Linked DNA regions of Callithrix jacchus. The protein of the gene in region 2 interacts with the protein of the main gene of each other region in a biochemical or structural test. Links are inferred from orthologs where the notes say so. Each region holds a gene or a part of one and is shown on either strand. Other genes may lie near its edges. The genes, in order: DAB2, MYO6 and TAX1BP1.

Region 1 (4,085 bases), on a different chromosome or scaffold from region 2:
GAATCACCTGGGGAAACTGTCCAAATGCACATTGTGGTTCAGTAGGTCCTGGCAGGGCTTGAAATTCTGCGTCTCTAACAAGCTGCCAGGTGATGCTGATGCTGAGCATAGAAAGGATTTAGTCTGCCTTGAGGAGGCAGGGAGCACTAAACCCTGGTTCCACCACTTACTGTGTACCCTTGACCTAGACTGAGCCACTTAACTTCATTAGGCCTCAATTTCCTCATTTCTAACAGACAGTAATAGAGTGCCTTCTTCACAGGGGTGTTGTGAAGAGTAATGGAGATAACTATGGGCATGTAGGATGCTAACTGCTAGTGTTATTAATATCACTGAAGCCATCATTCCAGGAGGTAGTCAAGACTGACAGCACTAAGTTGGAGGGTTTAGGTAACTTCACAGTGGATGGATCCAAAAGTATTGTAGTTTTTAAGATACATTGGAATGATAGAGGCTGCGATATATTCTTATGCTATGTGATTATTGAGTTCAACTCATTAAGTAAACCATGCATTTTATGTTCACCAAGTCTCATTATGCCATTCAGCAGCTGCCTGCCTAAATGCCAATGCCAATACAGCAGAATTGTAGCAATTTCTGGACACAGAGGACTTAACCTGATACAGGCATCACCTCCATGTGAGAAAATATCGTTGGAGGACTATCATCAAAGTGTGTTTAAACTCAAATAATTGTGTGTCTCTATCATAATAGGACATTTTCCTTCCAATGAAATGATTTTTTGTCCAACAGTAGAAATATATAAATTACCCAGGTTAAAAAGCATGTGGAGACAAGAGGATACACTCAATTGCTCTCACGGAACATGCAGTAGATTTAAAGGGAGCCCTGACTGTGATGTACACTGTGCCCTACAGGTCTTTCTGAACCCAAGGGGAAAAATACGTCCTTCAAAAATAATGTAGTTATTGACGTCAGTAAGTCTGAAGTAAAACAATTAAGTGCTTTCAAGTCATTTTGTTGCAAACAGTTATGCATTGAGAGTCAGCTATATGTCTGACATTATCCTCATGAAGTTGTGCAAAGGCAAAAAGTTTAAGAGTCAGTTCCTAGCCCCAAGAAATAGACAAGTGATTTGTTAGGCAATGCATGCATACATGAAACATGACAATGTTCAGGGCAGCATGTGATTGACTGCCAAAGTGTCTTGAGCAGGAAGTACCAAGGGAGGATGGAGATGAGAATAATCGGGGTTGGGTGGAGAATATCTGAGGAAACTGCACTTGATTTTGGCCTTGAAGAGTCATTGACTGGATTTGGCTACGTCTAGAAAAGTGGAAAGGTCGTTCCCTGCAGAAGCAACAAGAACAACAAGCTTGGAGGTAAGAAGGGACATGGCATAATTTTCTGTCTGCAGAAAGTAATACAAAATTGGAAAATAATATTGATTCAGTCTGTTAGGGCAGGATCATGGGGAGATTTTGACAATCAGTTGAGGAGACTGGAATAGGAATGTATTAGAAGACTGCATATGTAAATACTTGCATTTGTATATGTACATGTATATTTATTTATCGGCCAAGTAATATGATAATAGTAGCTCGTATATATATGTATCTGCAGAAGGTAGCACCTAAATTTTATAAATATTAAAGAACTTTGGAATCAGAGTGTGTGTTCACCTTACTCTTTTATTCAAAAACTCATATTTATCCAAACATAGCAGGATTCTTTTGACTTGGAACTTTCCGAAGATGATGATAGGGTTTTACTAATAATGATTCCATCCACACTCTCAAGAATTGCATGCAATTTATTTTTCTAGTTATAAACAATGATCTACAAGAGATCCTCAGTGTGTTCTACTAACGAAGCAACTAATCATAACACTTGATCTCTGTGGCCAAGAGCTATGGAAACGGGTCTGATCCTGTCTGGTGCTCTTCCAACGTGGGCATAATGATGGGCGTACTATGATGCCTAGTTGGGCTGGAATGTCCATGTCTTGCTTCAGGGTCTTTATTTCTAAGTCTAGGTCCCTGCTCCTGCCACTACAAGCTCAAAGCATCACCTTTCTAGATTGAGTTTTTCCTAAATTTCAGCTTCCCTCCAATAACCCCCTCAAATGCTGACCGTAGCTTTACTGTGTCTATATGTGCCTTCTCCCTAGCAGCTGCATTTCCTTTGGGAGAACAGTGGTCTTCTGTCTGCTGTGGCAAGCAAGTCACTTCTTCTTGTAGTGAGAACTGAAACCAGAACCATCATGTGCCACTTCCTGGACACCTCCTATTAAATATTAAAGTCCCCTTCCTATCACCACAGAAACTGGAGTTTAGTGGGGAGAGGCCCAGGTTCTTAGACTGTAACATCAGTTACAACCTGCCAACTGCGAGCCCTTGTGCAATTGACATTTCTGTGTATCAGCTTTCCTTTTTCTTTAGAATGAGATATTAATAGTAGCAACCCAGAGTTGTCATGAAGCTTCACTAAGTTTTTATATATAAAGAGAATTAAAACAGTGCTTGGCACATAACAATAACTCAATAAATGTTGGTCTATTATGATTATTGTTTAATCTCTTTGTGTATTCATATCATGTAGATTATATATGTACATCACTCACTAGCTAATTAAAATTCTCCATTCAAAATTGATTCTAACATTTAGATTTTTATTATCATTTGACTACTTATTTGAATATTTCTATCTATATTTACTCATATGCATTTATATGAAAGGCAATAAGAGCATGAAAGAATACTACATTACCATTCAGGCTTAACCTATCTAACTATGTGAGGGGAAAAAAATCTTGCTAAGAATTAGGAAACTACAGAAGTCTTTTAGCACCCAATGCAATGGACAAACCTGAAGTGGAATAAAATCTGATATTTTTAACTGGTTGCTATGTTCTTGCAAAACTTCTAAATTTATAAAAGGTGTCTATCAGCTAGTTGAGAAATCTCTCAACCTGTACTCCAGGAAGAACTGAAGCAATGTAAAGCATGTAATTCTTATAGATGACCTTGTTATAAACACAGAACTTTAGTGTATGAAAAAATTAAAGGGCAATACAAAATTGAGGATATTATGGGAGGTCAGGAAGGAGTGAGCTCAAACAGGCTTAAATTGTAGTGTGAAGGATGTGGCATAAATATCAGTAAACATTCATGAACAGTAAATGCTATTCAAATGGGGTCATTACAATCTCCTTCCCCAAGAGCCCTCAGCAAATGTAGATTTACAAGTAATCCTGCTTTAGCTTGATAATTCAACACATACCTTGGAGGCAAAGGGAATGGATTTGATTATTTTGTTAAGGATCCTTTGGTCCTCTGATGTTATAATCCTGAGAGAAACCTCCAGGTATTCCTCAATCTATTGTTTCTCAACTAAAAATGAGAGAATGGTATGCTAAACTGCGTCTATGGGTCTGAGATCTCCATGCTAACTGTGTTATAAATAGCATGGACTCAGTGTACTTACTACTACTAAGGGAAGTTGGTGACTTGAAGGAAAAGGAGGAACTCTGCAATTTTATTTTTAGTGTTTTTATTAATTTCAAACTTAATTTAAATTTTTAGGAATTAAATCTTTTCTAGCATTTTTTGATTTTAGAAACATTTACTTGTGACCAAAAGCATTCCACAATTTTTTAAAAACATGTCATCCCATTTCAGTAAAGTTATTCTTGAAGAAGAATGTTGACTAAGGAAGCAAAAACACAATTATAAGACTGAATCAGGCATTTATTTTAAAAGTATTACAGTCACCTCTTCAGAAAAAAATATAGCAGTAGGCACTTCTCCCCATCCCAACCCCATGATCTAACCTAAGATCTCCATAAGAAATGTGTTATTATTGATCTCATGAATAGCCCAGCTCCTATTTCTAGTTATGATGTACACGAACTTGGAAAATTACTAAATGAATACCATTTTTTTTTTTTTTTTTTTTTTTGAGACGGAGTTTCGCTCTTGTTACCCAGGCTGGAGTGCAATGGCGCGATCTCAGCTCACCACAACCTCCGCCCCCTGGGTTCAGGCAATTCTCCTGCCTCAGCCTCCTGAGTAGCTGGGATTACAGGCACGCGCCACCGTGCCCAGCTAATTTTTTGTAATTTT
Region 2 (4,227 bases):
TCATAAATCATTATGAAATATCTCATTATGGGTATCATAATTAAACTCCGATTGCAATCCCAGCACTTTGGGAGGCCAAGGCGGACAGATCACTTGAGCTCAGGAGTTCGAGAACAGCCTGGCCAACATGGTGAAACCCCATTTCTACTAATAATATAAAAATTAGCCAGGCGTGGTGGCGGCCACCAGTAATCTCAGCTACCTGGGAGGCCGACGAAGGAGAATCCCTTGAACCCAGGAGGTGGAGGTTTCAATGACCGGAGATCATGACACTACACAGCCTGGGTGACAGGGCAAGACTCCATCTCAGGGAAAAAAAAAAAAATGAATAAATAAACTCTATGAGATTTATTTAAGTTATAACACTTTTCAATATTTTATTTTTAGATATTTTAATATATAAAAATGAAAACTGTACAGAAGTTAAATTCTTCTTAAAACTGACATTTTACATGTCAAAAACGGAGCCTCAACTGTCAACAAAGTTAAAATGGGTTAATTTTTAAAAAATGTTTGGATGTATATATCTATTCAAACCTCACATGGTCAAAATCTTTGAAACTTTCTAAAAAACTTTCTAAAGAAAGCTACATTTTGGAAGCCAGATACAGCCCAATTGTCTAAACAATGGGCTACATGATACACCACAGACTCCAGGCAAAGTCACAACAGGATGAGAAAAGAGCCTTCAGCCTCTCGGATTTCCTGGTCACTGTTATTTTAAAACTTGATCACGTAAACATAAATAGGAAAAAAATCCATTTCAGATAAGCTCTACTGGTTATGATTTACAATCTTTTGTTTTTAATACAATATTTAATTGCATTAATTTACATTAAATATTATAATTGTTCATTACATTTTTCTTGCTCATGTTTCTGGGCACTAACCAAGAATATATATGTATATCATATATAGTTTTATATATTATACAGTTTTTAACATATTTCCTTAAATGTCATTCATACTTCTGTTACTGCCATTTACAATAGTTTCTGAAAACAATAATGTAACTTACAAAGATGGAGAATGATAAACAGCATGTCACACACAAAAAATGCAAAAGTAATGGGCAAATGTACATACGACTACAATGACTTGTTTACCGATGTGGATGTAATTCCTGCCTAACGTAAAAATACTCAAAACGAGCTGGATATATAAAAGTCAGCGAGCTATTGTGAAAGGCTGCATGGTTTCAAGCTCTAGTTATAGTCCACTTGGTAACATTTGTGGCGGTTTCTACAATTAAAGGCAAAAGACACAGTTAAGTTTTTTGTTTTTTTTTTTACGTGCCGTGACTCCGATCAGAGGTAATTTTTTCACTAAACATTCTCCAGTTGGAAAACCACAACCTGAGACATCTAGGAAGCTCAGTTAATTTGTACAGGAAATGCTGCTTTGCCGCCAACCTTTGTACCATGACCACTACAAGTCCAAGTTCAAGATTCATGTTTTATGTTGTGAAGATAAGTTTCAGCTAAATCTTAAGAATGTTAATTTCTAGGGCAGGTGCGGTAGCTCATGCCTAATCCCAGCACACTGGGAGATTGAGGTGGGTGGATCACCTGAGGTCAGGAGTTCGAGACCAGCCTGGCCAACATGGCAAAACCCCATCTCTACTAAAAATACAAAAACTAGCTGGGCGGTAGTGCACGCCTGTAAGCCCAGCCGCTGACGCAGTAGAATCACTTGAACCTGGGAGGTGGAGGTTGCAGTGAGCCGACAGAGTGAGACTCCGTCTCAAAAAAGGAACCTTAATTTTAAAACTCTCAAATTCTGACTAGATAGACTGCATCTATACCACCAGAGCATTAAAAAAAAAAAAAAAAAAAAAAATGAGACTTACTTAGCCCGTACAGTTAGTCTATTAAGTTAGGGCAGTTCTTCTCGTTTTCTCACTAATACTCATAAATTAGGAGTTAAGCATCTTTCCACGGTATCACTTTATGCTAGATAAGATGTAATGAATTTTTTGAAACTGTATGGAAATACTTCTAAACTCAGATGTTCTAGGGATACCCCATCAAATTATGTCCTATTTAAAATTAAAATACCAGAGTTTGAGCATTTTAATCGTTTTAGGGAGTTTTTGGAAATTAACAGAAGAAAGTTCTTGTTCAGTAGCATACCTGTAAATTAACATACTCAAGGTACTGAGAGACAAAGAATAAAGCTTTACAAAGTCTCAATCTGGTCTTCTACATGATTAGACTATTAATGGTATCATTTGATCTTCACATCTCAGAACAAACTGCGCTCTCCCTGCACTGTATTTTAAGCGTGTTTACAAAAGAGAAAATAAAACTATCACAAAGTGTCCAAGTCCGAGTTGGACACCTGAGTGCTCTGCTTCTACCTGGGAGCCAGGGAAGAAACACAAAGGGACCTTGGTGATTGATAACCCGTGAAAGGAGGCTAAACGTCTTTCTGTGGAAACAAGAACCACCCCCGGCCCCACCGCGCGCCGCCGCCGCCCGGGGCCGACCCATCACCTGCTTCTCCCACCCGCGTCGTCCGGCGGTGAACCGACGCGTCGGCCCGGGAGCTGCCCGAGGAGGCCCAAGAGCAAGGCCGGGCCGGGAACAGCGAGACCCCGGAGCCTACGCCCCGCAGCGGGGGCTCCGGGACACTCACCGGTGCCGGCGTGAAGGCAGGTGCGCGGCGGCAGAGGTACTCGTGCAGCTCAGGCTGAAGGGCGCGGTGGGAAGTGATGAGGGCGAGAGATGAGGGCGAGCGAAGAGGCCGACGACGCGGACGCGCTGCAGGACGGGGCGGCGACAGCGGCCCGGCTGCGGCTGGCTTCCTGCTCGGACAGATCCCGAGTCGGTCTCCGCCCGCCGGCCGGCGCCCAGCCGAGTCCCCGGCACCGCGGCGTGCACGTCACGGCTACGGAGCGCCCGAGGGGGCGGGGGCGCCGGGGCCGCGGTGCGGCCGGCCCCCGGGAGCGCGCCGGGAGGGGGCGCGCGTTCTGGGAGCGAGGGCGCCGTACCCCCGGGGTCGCCCCGCCCGCGGCGCCGAGCCTCTGGGGCGGGGTGGGCGCCCTGCTGCGCAGGGAGGGGCTGCCCTGGACAAGCCGGGAGTTCTGGTTCCTCGCACAGAGAAACGGCCTCCTTCGTCGCGGTAGCTGTTTCCAGTCCCAGTGAGGCAGGTCCTCTCCGGCTGATGCCGGGACTGTGCAGGCTGCCAACAGCAAGAATCAGTTCAAGCAGGGAGAAAGTTGTTCGGAGAGGGGGCGAGGAGTCCGGGGCTCCGCGCTGGGGACCCAGGGACCAGGTGGCCGCGCCCGGGCTGCAGCGAGGCTGTGTGGCGGCTACCTCGGCTCCGGATCTGGCCGGCTTGGGCTGGGCTGCCCTGCATAGGGAGGAACGTTCCTGCACAACTAAGTTCCAGTCGGCCTTTGGAGGAGGGAGGGCTTGAGATGTGAATTTCGCACCCCTTTGCTTCTCCCCACTCCCACCCTCGCCGCTGCATTTACTTTTTAGAGTCCCTACCTTCTCAGTCGTTTAAATGTTACTGTTTTTATACGTGACATATCTGTGAATCACTTTTTAAAATATGAAGTACCTATGCAAATTTGAATTATATGGTGAAAACACATCATCTTTACGATGAAAACAGCTTCTGTTAAGGCAACGAAGTGATAATGGACTATAATGCTAAATGTATCCGGGGAAAAAAGATAGCCTACTTACACATGAGAGTTGCACGTTTTTCTGCAACATTTATATGTAGCGACTTGGAAACTTCTGGAATTCTGAAGATTCCGAAGAGAATTTCTGATACTTAAAGGCTTCACGGTTTTCTTGGAGAAACAAAACAAAACAAAACAAAAAAAAAAAAAAAAACTGAGGTCTCGCAAGATGTTTTAGCTTTCAACTAAAACAAAATATTAAGAATAAAATAGGGGCTGGGCATGGTGGCTCACGCCTGTAATCCCAGCATTTTGGGAGGCTGAGGCGGCCGGATCACGAGGTCAGGAGTTTGGGACCAGCCTGGCTAGCATGGCGAAACTCCATTTTTAATTAAAAATATATATATACAAAAAATTAGCTGGGAATGGTGGCCCATGCCTGTAATCCCAGCTACTTGGGAGGCCGAGGCAGGAGAATCGCTTGAACCCGGGAAATGGAGGTTGCAGTGAGCTAAGTTCGTGCCACCGCATTCCAGCCTGGGTGGTGACAGACTGACTAGACTCTGTCTCAAAAAAGAATAAAATAGGGAAGC
Region 3 (3,651 bases), on a different chromosome or scaffold from region 2:
TCTTTTTAAATGTAAACATCTTAGACTAATAAATACTTAATTAGGTTTGTCCCCTGTAGGACAGAATCGAGCCTTCTATTTTCATGTATCCTCTGTAGTACCTAAAATGGTGTCATAGGGTATTTACTTAATAAAGACCTAGTGAATGAAGGACTAGAAGAATGATTTAAAATGTGTTCTTGACTGGGTGTGGTATCATATGCCTGTACTACTAGATACTCTGGAATCTGTGGCAAGAGGATCCTTGCTCCCAAGAGTTTGATGCCAGCCTGGGCAGCATAGTGAGACCCTGGCTTTTAGAGAGGGGAGAGAGAATTCTCAGAGTATGGTTTTCCTACTTATCCTGTCTATTCAGTTGTATAAGGAGAACAAATTTTTTTTTTTTCTATTTCGGAACTCTTTTTAGCAAATTAAAAAAAAATCAAAGAATAATCTTTCATTATTGAATATGAACTTGGTTCTGGCCAAACACACATGTAAAAATTCTCAGCTAGAGTTTATATATCCTTCTTTGTATATCTAGGATATGAATAGATATTTGTGTCCTCCAGTATTCCATTTATTATATTTCGCAATATACTGACCTTTAAGTTAATCTGAACAGGCAGATAACGGGGGCAAAATACTTTGTAACAGTCTTGTTTTCTGTCTTCTTATACCAGAGACAGATTTTGACATAATAACAAAGGGGCAAGTCTGTGAAATGACCAAAGAAATTGCTGACAAAACAGAAAAGTATAATAAATGTAAACAACTCTTACAGGTAAGTTAACTCCCTTGTAAATGAAAGAGATTTATCAAATGTAAATGACTTAGCTTACCTTTATTGTTTTGATTGATTGGTATCTTTGAGTTCCTTTCCATCCCCAGATACTGTTATTTAGTTTCACTTTGGCTTTCAGGATGATGAGGTGGGTGTTTTGTGTACCTGTTCACATTGGCATGTGTGTAAATCATGAGACCTAAAGTCATTGTTTTCTTTTCACCTAATAAAATGTTCTTGTTTGGGTAATGGGCAAATAGTTAACTGAGGTTAGAGATTATTATCTGTCATCTTACAAAGATTAGTGAAAAATATTTGAACTTCATAAAGAGAAGTGTTCTTTTAAAATTTACTCTTACAGCCCAGGTATGGTGGCTCATGCCTGTAGTCCCAGCATTTTGGGAGGTCGTCATGGGTGGATTGCTTAAGGCCAGGAGTTCGAGATCAGTCTGGCCACGTGGTGAAACCCTGTCTGTACTAAAAATTAGCCGGGCTTGGTGGAGCTTGCCTGTGGTCTCAGCTAGTTTCCTGAGGCAGGAGAATCACTTGAACCCGGGAGATGTGGGTTGCAGTGAGCTGAGATTGCACATTGCACTGCAGCCTAGGCAACAGAGTGAGACTCTGTCTCCAAAAATAATGATATATAAAATAAATTACTATTATAATAGCAAAGATTTTTACATCTTAAAGTGACTAGAATTGCATAGTGGAAAAGGGAATGTTAACCAAATTAGTTATTGTCTCTTATGGTGTTGTTTATTTTGATTATTTTAAACAGCATCATTCTGACTTTTCTAGTTTGCAGCCTTCTTGGTGTAGTGTTCACTACTGGAATATTTAAAGGAAAAGGGAAGATGCTTCTCATTTATATCAATTTGGACTAGAGAGGAAAAAATGTTTTTTGTTTGCATATGTCATTTTTGTTTTATTAATGGGCTTTTATTTTGTGTGTTTTTATGTGCATTGGGGGGGCATTTTTTAGAGCTATAGAATAAAATTTACACATTAGCTTAATGTTACTATAATTAATTTTAGTAATTAAAATATTTTATGTTACTTATAAATAGCAAGACGTTTTAATCAAAGTTTAAAGTGAACTTTTTTTTTTTTCTTGAGAGAAACCTGTAGAAGGGTTGATTAGAACAGTTTTACTCTTGAGTTCAGGGTAGTTGTAAGACTGAACTACATTTTCATTAAAGATGAAACAATTCTGCATGAATATTTAAAGATTTTTATATTGAAATAGTATTGTAAGGAAGGTAGAATAATGTTCAAGCAAAAACCTTCCTCAAAGTGCTTTTTTTTTTTTTAACAACTGTGTTGAGGTATAATTGAAATTCATTGAATTGGACATACTTGAAGTATACAGTTGGATCAGTTTTGACATACACAGTTGTGACACTATTAACACAATGCCATCACCCTCCCATTTTTTTTTTTTTTTTTTTTTTTTTTTTGAGACGGAGTCTTGTTCTGTCTTCCAGGCTGGAGTACAGTGGTGTGATCTCGGCTTACTAGAACCTTTCCCTCCCGAGTTCCAGTGATTCTCCTGCCTCAGCCTCCTGAGCAGTTGGGACTACAGGCGAGCCCCACCACTCCCAGCTGATTTTTGTATTTTTTAAATAGAGACGGGGTTTCATCATGTTAGCCAGGCAGGTCTCGAACTCCTGACCTCCTAATCTGCCCGCTTCAATCTCCCAAAGTGCTGGGATTACAGATGTGAGCCACCTTGGCTGGCTCACAATTTTTTTTGTACCTGTTTGCAACACAAGTCTTTTGTTATCCTTATCTCCAGGAAATCATTGGCCTGCTTTCTGCCACTATCAACTAGCCTACCTTTTATACAACTTTATAAAATGGAGTCATGTAATATGTATTTTTTTCTGCCCTCCTTTAGCATGATTATTCTGAGATTTAACATATTATTGCTTATATTTATTCCTTTTTTATTATATCATTTGTTCATTCACCAGTCAATGGGCATTTGGGGTTGTTTTTTGGCTGGTACAAATCTACTTATGAACATGTGTTTACGAGTTTTTTATGGATATACAGTTTTTTTATTTTTCTTGGGTAAATATCTGGGAGTGAATTGTGTGGGTGATATGGTAGGTGAATATTTATAAGAAATTACCAGCTGGGTGCAGTGGCTCAAACCTGTAATCCCAGCACTTTGGGAGGCCGAGGTGGGAGGATCACTTGAGGTCAGGAGTTTGTGACCAGCCTGATGAAACCCCTTCTCTACTAAAAATACAAAAATTAGCCCGGTGTGGTGGCGCATGCCTGTAATCTCATCTACACTGGAGGCTGAGGCAGGAGAATCACTTGAACCCGGGAGGTGGAGGATGCAGTGAGCCAAGATCACGCCACTGTACTCAGCCTGGGTGACAGAATGAGACTCTGTCCCCCCCCCCCCCCAATAAAAAAGAAGAAAACCAGAAAAGAAGTCACCAAACTGTTTTGTAAGGTATCTGTACCATTTTACATAGCCAGCCCTAATGTGTGTGTTCTGATAGCTCATTGTGGTTTTAATGTGCATATCCATAATGACTTGATGTTGAGCATCTTTTCTTATGCTTATTTGCTCTTTATCTTTTGTGTGAGTGGTCAAATCTTTTTGGTAGTTTAAACATTGGGTTGTTCACCTGGAGTTTGTTTCTTATTCAGGATATGTCTTTTGTCTGATATATGTAAGGTTAATATTTTCTACAAGTCTCTAGCTTGCCTTTTCATTTCCTTAATGATGTTTTTAGAAAAGCAAAATTCTAATTTTGATATAGTACAGTTTATCAGTTTTTTTCTGTTTTGTGCTTTTTACTTTCCAAGGAACGTTTGCCGAATCCAGGGAGATAAAGATTTTCTCCTAGGTTATCTTCTATAAGTTTTAT

The links.
Region 1: the proteins of MYO6 (region 2) and DAB2 form a complex in vitro, tested with the Homo sapiens proteins (7 studies listed by BioGRID). The link is inferred for Callithrix jacchus from reciprocal best matches to the Homo sapiens genes MYO6 and DAB2.
Region 3: the proteins of MYO6 (region 2) and TAX1BP1 form a complex in vitro, tested with the Homo sapiens proteins (5 studies listed by BioGRID, with this or other methods). The link is inferred for Callithrix jacchus from reciprocal best matches to the Homo sapiens genes MYO6 and TAX1BP1.

Annotation. Positions count from the first base shown.
Region 1 is NC_133503.1:166,097,219-166,101,303, forward strand, and holds the start of DAB2 (disabled homolog 2), read left to right. Parts: upstream 1-1,240; 5' UTR 1,241-1,343; intron 1,344-4,085. UniProt on the Homo sapiens protein: Adapter protein that functions as a clathrin-associated sorting protein (CLASP) required for clathrin-mediated endocytosis of selected cargo proteins.
Region 2 is NC_133505.1:80,986,419-80,990,645, reverse strand, and holds the start of MYO6 (unconventional myosin-VI), read right to left. Parts: upstream 2,836-4,227; 5' UTR 2,638-2,835; intron 1-2,637. UniProt on the Homo sapiens protein: Myosins are actin-based motor molecules with ATPase activity. Unconventional myosins serve in intracellular movements. Myosin 6 is a reverse-direction motor protein that moves towards the minus-end of actin filaments.
Region 3 is NC_133512.1:30,307,074-30,310,724, reverse strand, and holds part of TAX1BP1 (tax1-binding protein 1), read left to right. Parts: intron 1-662; coding exon 663-763; intron 764-3,651.